Linked DNA regions of Oryctolagus cuniculus. The protein of the gene in region 2 purifies or fractionates together with the protein of the main gene of each other region. This does not show direct contact. Links are inferred from orthologs where the notes say so. Each region holds a gene or a part of one and is shown on either strand. Other genes may lie near its edges.

Region 1 (3,902 bases), on a different chromosome or scaffold from region 2:
GGTGAACTGTGGGGGTGGTTACACCACACTGCAAATGTACTTACTGTCCCTGAACTGTACACTTAACATGGTTACAACGATACATTTGTGATGAGTACATGACAATGAAAACAGAGGTGATACGAAATTTATTGACTTATGCGTGGCAAAATCACGAAGACCTTTACCCTGCTACAAGCTACGTGGCCGACACACACACCGATCACGGGAGGCAACACGCAGAGGTAGAGCACTACACACACCCATCTGGCTCCATGACGCAGCGGGACGGCCTCGGCCTGTGGGTGCGGAACATCTCAGCTGGGGCGTCGCGCCTCACTCGGGGTGCAGTTACCATCCTGGGAGGGTGCAATGCCCCCGCCACGCTTCGTCCCACTCTTCTGCTAAGGGGTGCATGGAGAGGCAGAACACAGGGCTCCCGCGCGCTGCCTGAAAGCCCCGACCACCACCTCTGAGCAGACGCTTCCCAGTCGCCCAGGGCTACGGCCTTGCATGTTTACTGTGTGTTCTGACATCCAGCCCACGAGACAGAAAGAACTTTCCGTTTGACAGACGTGAGAAACCAAGGCTCACACAGACTCCGTCAGCTGCCCAGAACAGCGAGCTGACAGCACCCCAAACCCTGTGCTCCTCCCACATCTGTCTTCCAAATACCCGTGAACTGTCCGGGTGACCGTGGCATAGCTTCCTCCAAGAACTGGATCCGAACAGAACCTCCTGGCCATTATCTGCAAGAACAGCACGCGCAAGTGCAGGAAGAATCCGCACTCGGGCGCCTTCCCGTAAACCTGGGTCCGAATTTCTGTGTTCTTCCGAAAAGACAAACTCCCAGGGTTCTGACAGTCTCTAGGGGCCCGATTCCCTCCTTCGGCCTCGTCTACACCCTCAGCCTTCTTGGTTAGTGACCCAAGGGGCCCAGGGCTTCCCAGAGGCCCAGCTGATCACTTGAGCGAGTCCAGTCTCCCAAACACCTGTGTGAAGCGCTCTCTGTCCAGGACGCGCCCGTAGCGCAGAGGTAGGTAGAAGGTCTGCTTCCCGCTGTACTGCTGGATGCGCACAAACACCTCGTGGGGCCGGTCCCTCGTCTCCGTCAGGGGGACCACGTCCGCCACGGGGCAGTACGTGTCCTGTCGCCAGCCCCAGAAGGTGAGGTGAGCCACCCGCAGCACGGTGCCCGACTCGTTCACATACAGGATGCCTACGAGCCTGCGGAAGAAATGGCTCATCCAGCACAGCATGGCCAGGGCGAAGCCAGCTATGCCACCCACCAGGCACAGCGAGTCGAGCGGCATGAGGCCCTGGGAGTACCAGTAGAAGCCGGGCGGCAGAGCCACCAGCGTCAGGGCCGTCTGCGCCACCTTCAGCCGAGATATGTACCCAAACGCTCTGATGGCATCGAAACGGTAGACCATCTGGAACTTCTCGGTCTCTGTGCCCGGGGCTTTCTCCTCGGAACCGGGAGACCTGCTCCGCACCCACCTCTTGGGATCCTCTCGCCCACCGCAGGACCACAGCCCGCAGAGGGGCTTTCCCCAGGCGGCCGGCCCCCGCCACCTGGGCACAGCTCGGAGGAGGGCAGCCTGGAAGGGAGACAAGAGACCGTTTCCTCTCAGAACTCGGCTTCCACCTGCGTGAGTTCGTTAGGCTTTACCAACGGGCACTCAGAACACACTGAACGAGACAACGGTTTTTACGCCGTAAACGCAGCACCACTGTGCATCAGCACCGGCAGGGGCTTGGTTCCGGGATGCACGACAAGACACCCAAACCAGAGGGCTCACGTCTCTTATGCAAAATGGCACAGTGTTTGTGTGATACCTTATACCACTACTACGATGGAAACGCGGCGTAAAGAGTGGTTATGGGGGATTCCTTTGGGAGTAGCAAGAGCCCGTAGGCGTTCCGCACAGACGCAGCTGTCTCGGCAGCTGAGTGAATCCATGGATGGGGAGCGCACGGATAAGCAGCGCCGACTGCTCGGGGCCCACCCTGAGCACCCCCGCGAGGCTCGCTAGCACCGCTGCTGGCCCACGTGACCCCGCAAGACCACAGCAAGCCGTGGAGGAGCACATCGTAACCCACATCGGGGCAATCGCCCCAGGACCCAACAAACCAGAAGCTCAGGATTCCTGCCTGTTTGCCCCAACACTGGCTCCGACCCCGACGCAGCCCATCACCCTCCTCCTTACCATGGCCCTGCTCCCTGGCGCCGGATACAACCTCACCGCCGCCGGAAACTCTAAGGGCGCATGCTCGGACTACGCGCGTTGCATGCTGGGAGTTGTGGTGTAGCGTCCGTGGCCGACGCTAGCCCCGGGCATTGTGGGAGGCTGTGGGAGTCTCTTCCCGACGTGCTCTGCGGCGAAGAGGGCCGAACCCGGAAGTTCCGGGTCGAGGTCCGGGTGCCAACGAGTCGTCTCAGGTGTGGACGGAAACGGGGGCCATGGCAGCTCCGGGACCAGCGCTTTGCCTCTTCGACGTGGACGGGACCCTGACCGCCCCGCGGCAGGTAGGCGGCGCGCAGAGGGCTGGCGGCAGCCGGCACGGAGCACTTTCTGCTCCTAGACGGGACGAACGACCGTCCAGCTTGGGTGCCTGGGTGCAACTGAGGACCGCCTCCCGCCTCCAGGGGCTGCCCTTGGTCTGGGTGCCCCAGCGGCGGGAGACGGGCCTGAAGCAGCTCGTCAAGATCCCGGGGTGCTCGGAGAGGGAGGGCGGGGTCGGGAAACTTGGGTTAGAACAAGCAGCCCGTTCTCTGGCCGCGAGCCCTGAACCCCAGCCGAGGCCCCCTCAGCAGCTGTGTGACCTTCCCCGTCCCGTCGCGCGTGGCTGGACCTTGGAGCGAGATGCTGAAAGCGCAGGGTTCGGGCCGGCGCTGCGGCTGTTACTAGTTAAACATCCGTGTGCCTGCGGCGCCGGCATCCCATATGGGCGCCGGGTTGAGTCCCACCTGCTCCACTTCGGATCCGGCTCCCTGCTGATGGCCTGGGAAAGCTGCAGTGGACGGGCCCGGTCCTTGGGCCCCTGCACCCATGTGGGAGACCCGGAAGAAGCTCCTGGCTTCGGATCAGCGCAGCCGCGGCCCTTGCGGCCATTTAGGGAGTGAGCCCTTGGGTGGAAGACCCCCTCTCTCTATCTCGACCTCTCTCTGTCTGCAACTCTGCCCTCAAATAGATAAATCTTAAAGAAAGAAAGTGTAGATTTCCTAGTCCAGAGGACCTAGCGGAGCCTCAGCTTGGGCCAGTTAGCCCCAGCCGGAAGCGGGGACAGTGCTTGTTACGTGTCATCCGAATAGGACCAAATGCAAGGTGTCTGCTCGCAGTAGGCCTCCGTAAGCACGGGCCGTCTCCACCCGCCCTGTGCAGCCCCTGCCGGGGTCGGGGTCGGGGTCGGGGGGACGTCCTAGGTCGTCACAGGCAGCCTGGTGAGTCTCTGCACCCTTGGAAGCGTGCCCCCCGCGCTCAGATCTGCCTGCTGCGGGCGCGCGTACGTTTCAGCTACGATCAGCTTCGTGGCGAGGCTCTCCCTTGTACAGACTGGTCGCAGGAACACCAGCCATGGGAGGCAGCAGTCAGCACACACCTGTGGGTTGTTAAAAGCCCTTACTGGCGGCCGGCGCCGCGGCTCACTAGGCTAATCCTCCGCCTGGCGGCGCCGGCACACCAGGTTCTAGTCCCGGTCGGGGCGCCGCATTCTGTCCCGGTTGCCCCTCTTCCAGGCCAGCTCTCTGCTGTGGCCAGGGAGTGCAGTGGAGGATGGCCCAAGTGCTTGGGCCCTGCACCCCATGGGAGACCAGGAGAAGCACCTGGCTCCTGCCTTCGGATCAGCGCAGCACCGTAGCGGCCATTTTGGGGGTTGAACCAAGAGAAGGAAAACCTTTCTGTGTCTCTCACTGCCTAACT
Region 2 (3,902 bases):
AGCTACCCAAGTTTGCATCCTAAATGCAACATTTAATTTTTATTCATTGTTTTATTTGAGAAGCAGAGCATCTGAGAGAAAGAGCTCCCATCCACTGGTTCACTCCCCAAATGCTGAGGCTGAGGCTGGGCCAGGTCTGGAGCCAGGAGCCAGGACCTCCACCCAGGTCTCCCAAGTGGGCGGCAGGAACCAGATCACCCGAGCCGTCATCACTGCCCTCTACAGTCTGCGTCAGCAGGAAGCTGGGAATGAAAGCCAGACAGGCACCCCGAGGCGGGACACAGGCACCCCAGGCACTCAGCTAAATGCACGCGCCCCGAGAGCGCCTACCTCTTTCAGAAGCGCAACCAGCGGAGTCATGATATCCTTCGTCACCATGTCGTCACAAACTTCAAAACCTCCACAGGCACTCAGATTTCTAGGCAAGAAGTTTCGATCACGTTTTATTTTCAGTCACACGTCATAAAACGCTATCCCACACTCACATTTACTTCTCCTTTCATTAGACCTAAGGTTTCCCAGGAGACACGGTTTGCTATTTCTGTCACATGCGACAGAACCAGTCCAGAGCTTCCCACCGCTCCTGATCCTTGTCCTACCAGATGCGAGCAGGTGACTGTCACGCAGCCACGTGCTTCTCAGGTCTAAGCACACAGGCACACGGCTACAGGGATGGGCCAGGGAAGACGACGGCACCCACTTCACATCCTAAACGGAGGGACCCTGCCCTGCCATCAACACGCTAAGGGCGGTGAGGGGAGGCCCCTGAGGAGGACACGCCCTGACTCAGCCCTGGCTAAGCTTCACTGGAAGACACTCCTGAGCCACGGCCAGGCAGGAAGAGCGTGCAGAGAAGTCAGGCCGCTCCCACGTCTTCAGGAGCTCACAGTGCGCGTGTCTCCTCGCCGGGGAGGGATGTCCACCCCGTCCCCATAAAGCGGTCAGTGCCCCTCGTTCCTCGGACCTCAACTCTAACATCACTGCTCAGGTCTGTCTCCCCCGAACCCTGGAGCACCTGTGTGGTTGCTACTGGCTGGTCAGCGCAGTAGCTGGCGAACGCCTGTCTGCTTCGGCGGTCTTGGAGAGTCCCTGGAAGTCTCTGTTACTCACGACCCCATGCCCAGAGCACGCTGACATCAGTGAGCACAACGTAAACACAAGAACTACAAGTACTAACTTCTACTCTTGCCCCCTCTACAGTCCATTCTCTGCACAACCAAGAGAATGGCCTCTTCCAAAGGTAAATGGATGAGGTCTCTCCCTTTCTTAGAATAAACCCCACCCCACCCTACTATCCCTCCCCAGCCTCATCTCCTAACCCTTCTAACCCTCAGTTCTGTAGCCACGCCACGCCCTTCGCTGTCTCACTTCTCTGCGGGGAACCCTCTTGCTCCATACTCCCACGCCTGGCTCCCCATCCTGCAAGGCTGAATTCACCACTGCCATCTACAGAGCACCCCCAGCCCAGCACTCTCTTGGCTTGCCTAGCGCTTCTCACTATCTAACATCACGCTTGACCTTGTTCTAGTTTTCCGTCTCCGCATCAACAGAGCTTCTGGGAAGACCGGGCTGTGTTGTTTGTTCCGTGTAGAGCCCTCGCATCTACAACCCCTGGGTGGAAGAGATCATCCAACCACGGGGCCCTAAGGAAGCTTCCTGGAGAGCATAGCAAAGTGCGCCGGTTTGCGGGGCAGGACGTCTAGCAGCACCCGCAGGGACTTGCGTGGGGCCAGAGAGTCCCGGGGTCGGTCCTCCCCGCCCGCCCGCCCGCCCGCCCGCAGACGGGAGACCGCCGCCAGGTTCTCCGCCCTCCCCAGCCCCTTGCAACGAAACGCACAGCACGCGACAAAGTCCCGCACCCGTCCTCCCGGCTCACCTCAGCGCGCCGGCCGCCGTCTCCCTGACCGCCAGGCTGCGGTCCAGCAGCAGCGGCCCGAGCCGACGCACCGCATCCCGGCGCGCCAGGCCCGGGAGCGCCGGCCGCTGCTGCACCAGCCGGGCCAGGCCCGCGCACGCGCACTCGCGGACCTCGGCGCTCGGGTGCTGGAGCTGTGGGACGCGGACGAGGAGGTTAGAGGTGGCCCAGTGCGCACGCGCCCCCGGGGCCGCGGGGGGCCGCCCGCGCCCGCCCCCGCCGCCCCGCGGAGCCCCCGCCTCACTTTTTCCAGCAGCTCCGCCGCCGGCCCGTCGTCCTCCTCGTCTGCAGTTCCGTTCGCCGCCGCCGCCTCGGCCTGACAGTCGCCGGTGGGGGAGAACTGAGGTCGCTTGAAGCGTTTGGTTCGGCTCTTGCCCATGGCGACGTGCACTGCGGGGACAGCCACAGAGAGGAGGGCAGCAGCACGCGGCGGAGACTGCGGGACTGGCGGTACCGTCGTATCGCCCCGGGGGCTGCTGATGGTCCCCGCTCAGCTGGGCCGCCTGACGGCCCGAGCACACATGGTGAGGCAGCGCGCACGCGCGCCGCGTGTCGGCGGCGAGGGCGGGGCTGGCGCGGGGAGCGCGCAAGCGTGGAAGCGGCGTGGGCGTGGCCTGTCCGGGAGAGGGGCGGGGTCCTGTGGCTTTTCCAAGGAAGCAGAGGACTGTTGAATGGTGATGCTGACTTCACGTCCGCCTAGGTGCATAGCTATCAGGTCAGTGTGTATGGGAGAAAACCTTGCTCTTTGGCGACCCTACCCTTTAGACCGACTGTCTAATAAAGGAAATAACATTAACTGGCATAACAGAGGTGTGATTGGCTTGCAGAGGCTGGGGCCTCCCCATGACCGACGATAGGTGCAAGGAAACCTTGGAGCCGCCAGATACCAGGGTCTGTCAGAAAGTTCGGCACAGTGGTTGGGACGCCACTTGGGATGCCCGGTCCCGTGTCAGAGTGCAGTTCCAGACGGTACTGCTTGTGCTCCCGCTTCCTACCAGTGCACCCCTGGGAGCCAGCAGGTGATGGCTCGAGTACTTGGGCCCCTGCCACCCACGTAGGAGAGCCAGATGGAATTCCTGGCTCCTGGCTTAGGCCTGGACCAGCCTGACAGTTTCAGGCATTTGGGGACTGAACCAGAAGACCAGAAGATTTCTCTCTAGCTCTCACTCTTACAAATAAATAAAAATGAACAGAAAACCTTTTTTAAAAATGAAAGGTTTGTGAAAAATGGAGTTCAAAAGTAATTTTATTTTGGTGCAAAAAATTTTTTTAAATGCATGCGCAGTCTTTGCGTGATCCTCTTGAAGATCGAGTCTATGTGTTGGTGGGTTTTTTGCTTCCTAGACGTCTCCTCTGGCCGCTGAGGGCCTGCCGCTTCCCTTCTCTGAGGTGCTCTCTCCACTTCCCTTGACCGCATGGTTCGGGTGTCTCCACCCCTGTGGTGGAATGAGAAGGCCATGCCAAGATGGCTGCTGGCAACGGAGCCTGACTGGCAACAGGCTGTGATGGGATGGCTTCAGAAACTGCCTGGCAACAGGCTGTGATTGGTTAGGGCATAGACCGCCCCTTGACCAGATTGGCTGCCTTGGCTATTTAAGCTGCTGTAGCAACTGAAATAAACGAGTCTGTGGGCTGCTTGCCTCTGGCCCACTGGCCCACTATCACCGGCTCCCGGCTCCCGCCTCCCAGCTCCAGGGATCTGTGGTGACTCTGCGCCTCTTGCCCCCACCATGCTCCTCCTCTCAGAAGGAATCCACCTCAACATCTGGTGCCCAATGTAACTGTGAGAGAGACAGCGTGTTGGACTCTGCAAGGTCCCCCTGGATTTTGGCAAGTAGGCCCCTCGGTGTTTTGTGTGCTGTTAGATTCTGTGAGGGTGAGCACAGAACCCCCTCCTATGCCCCCTTTCCTTGTCCTTGTCCTCAGTCAAAGTGCCCCCAGGTTAGGCACACACCGCCCAGAAGCATAATGCCACTTCTCGGTGCTC

The links.
Region 1: the proteins of HEATR3 (region 2) and TMEM186 purify together in Homo sapiens (co-immunoprecipitation; 3 studies listed by BioGRID and IntAct, counting the BioPlex papers as one, with this or other methods). This does not show direct contact. The link is inferred for Oryctolagus cuniculus from reciprocal best matches to the Homo sapiens genes HEATR3 and TMEM186.

The regions. Positions count from the first base shown.
Region 1 is NC_091450.1:27,395,687-27,399,588, reverse strand, and holds TMEM186 (transmembrane protein 186), read right to left. Parts: upstream 2,315-3,902; 5' UTR 2,193-2,314; coding exon 2,190-2,192; intron 1,581-2,189; coding exon 942-1,580; 3' UTR 113-941; downstream 1-112. Other genes in the region: PMM2 (phosphomannomutase 2), read left to right, coding at 2,444-2,509. UniProt on the Homo sapiens protein: As part of the MCIA complex, required for efficient assembly of the mitochondrial complex I.
Region 2 is NC_091449.1:33,662,971-33,666,872, reverse strand, and holds the start of HEATR3 (HEAT repeat-containing protein 3), read right to left. Parts: upstream 2,477-3,902; 5' UTR 2,295-2,476; coding exon 2,160-2,294; intron 2,050-2,159; coding exon 1,877-2,049; intron 419-1,876; coding exon 331-418; intron 1-330. UniProt on the Homo sapiens protein: Plays a role in ribosome biogenesis and in nuclear import of the 60S ribosomal protein L5/large ribosomal subunit protein uL18 (RPL5). Required for proper erythrocyte maturation.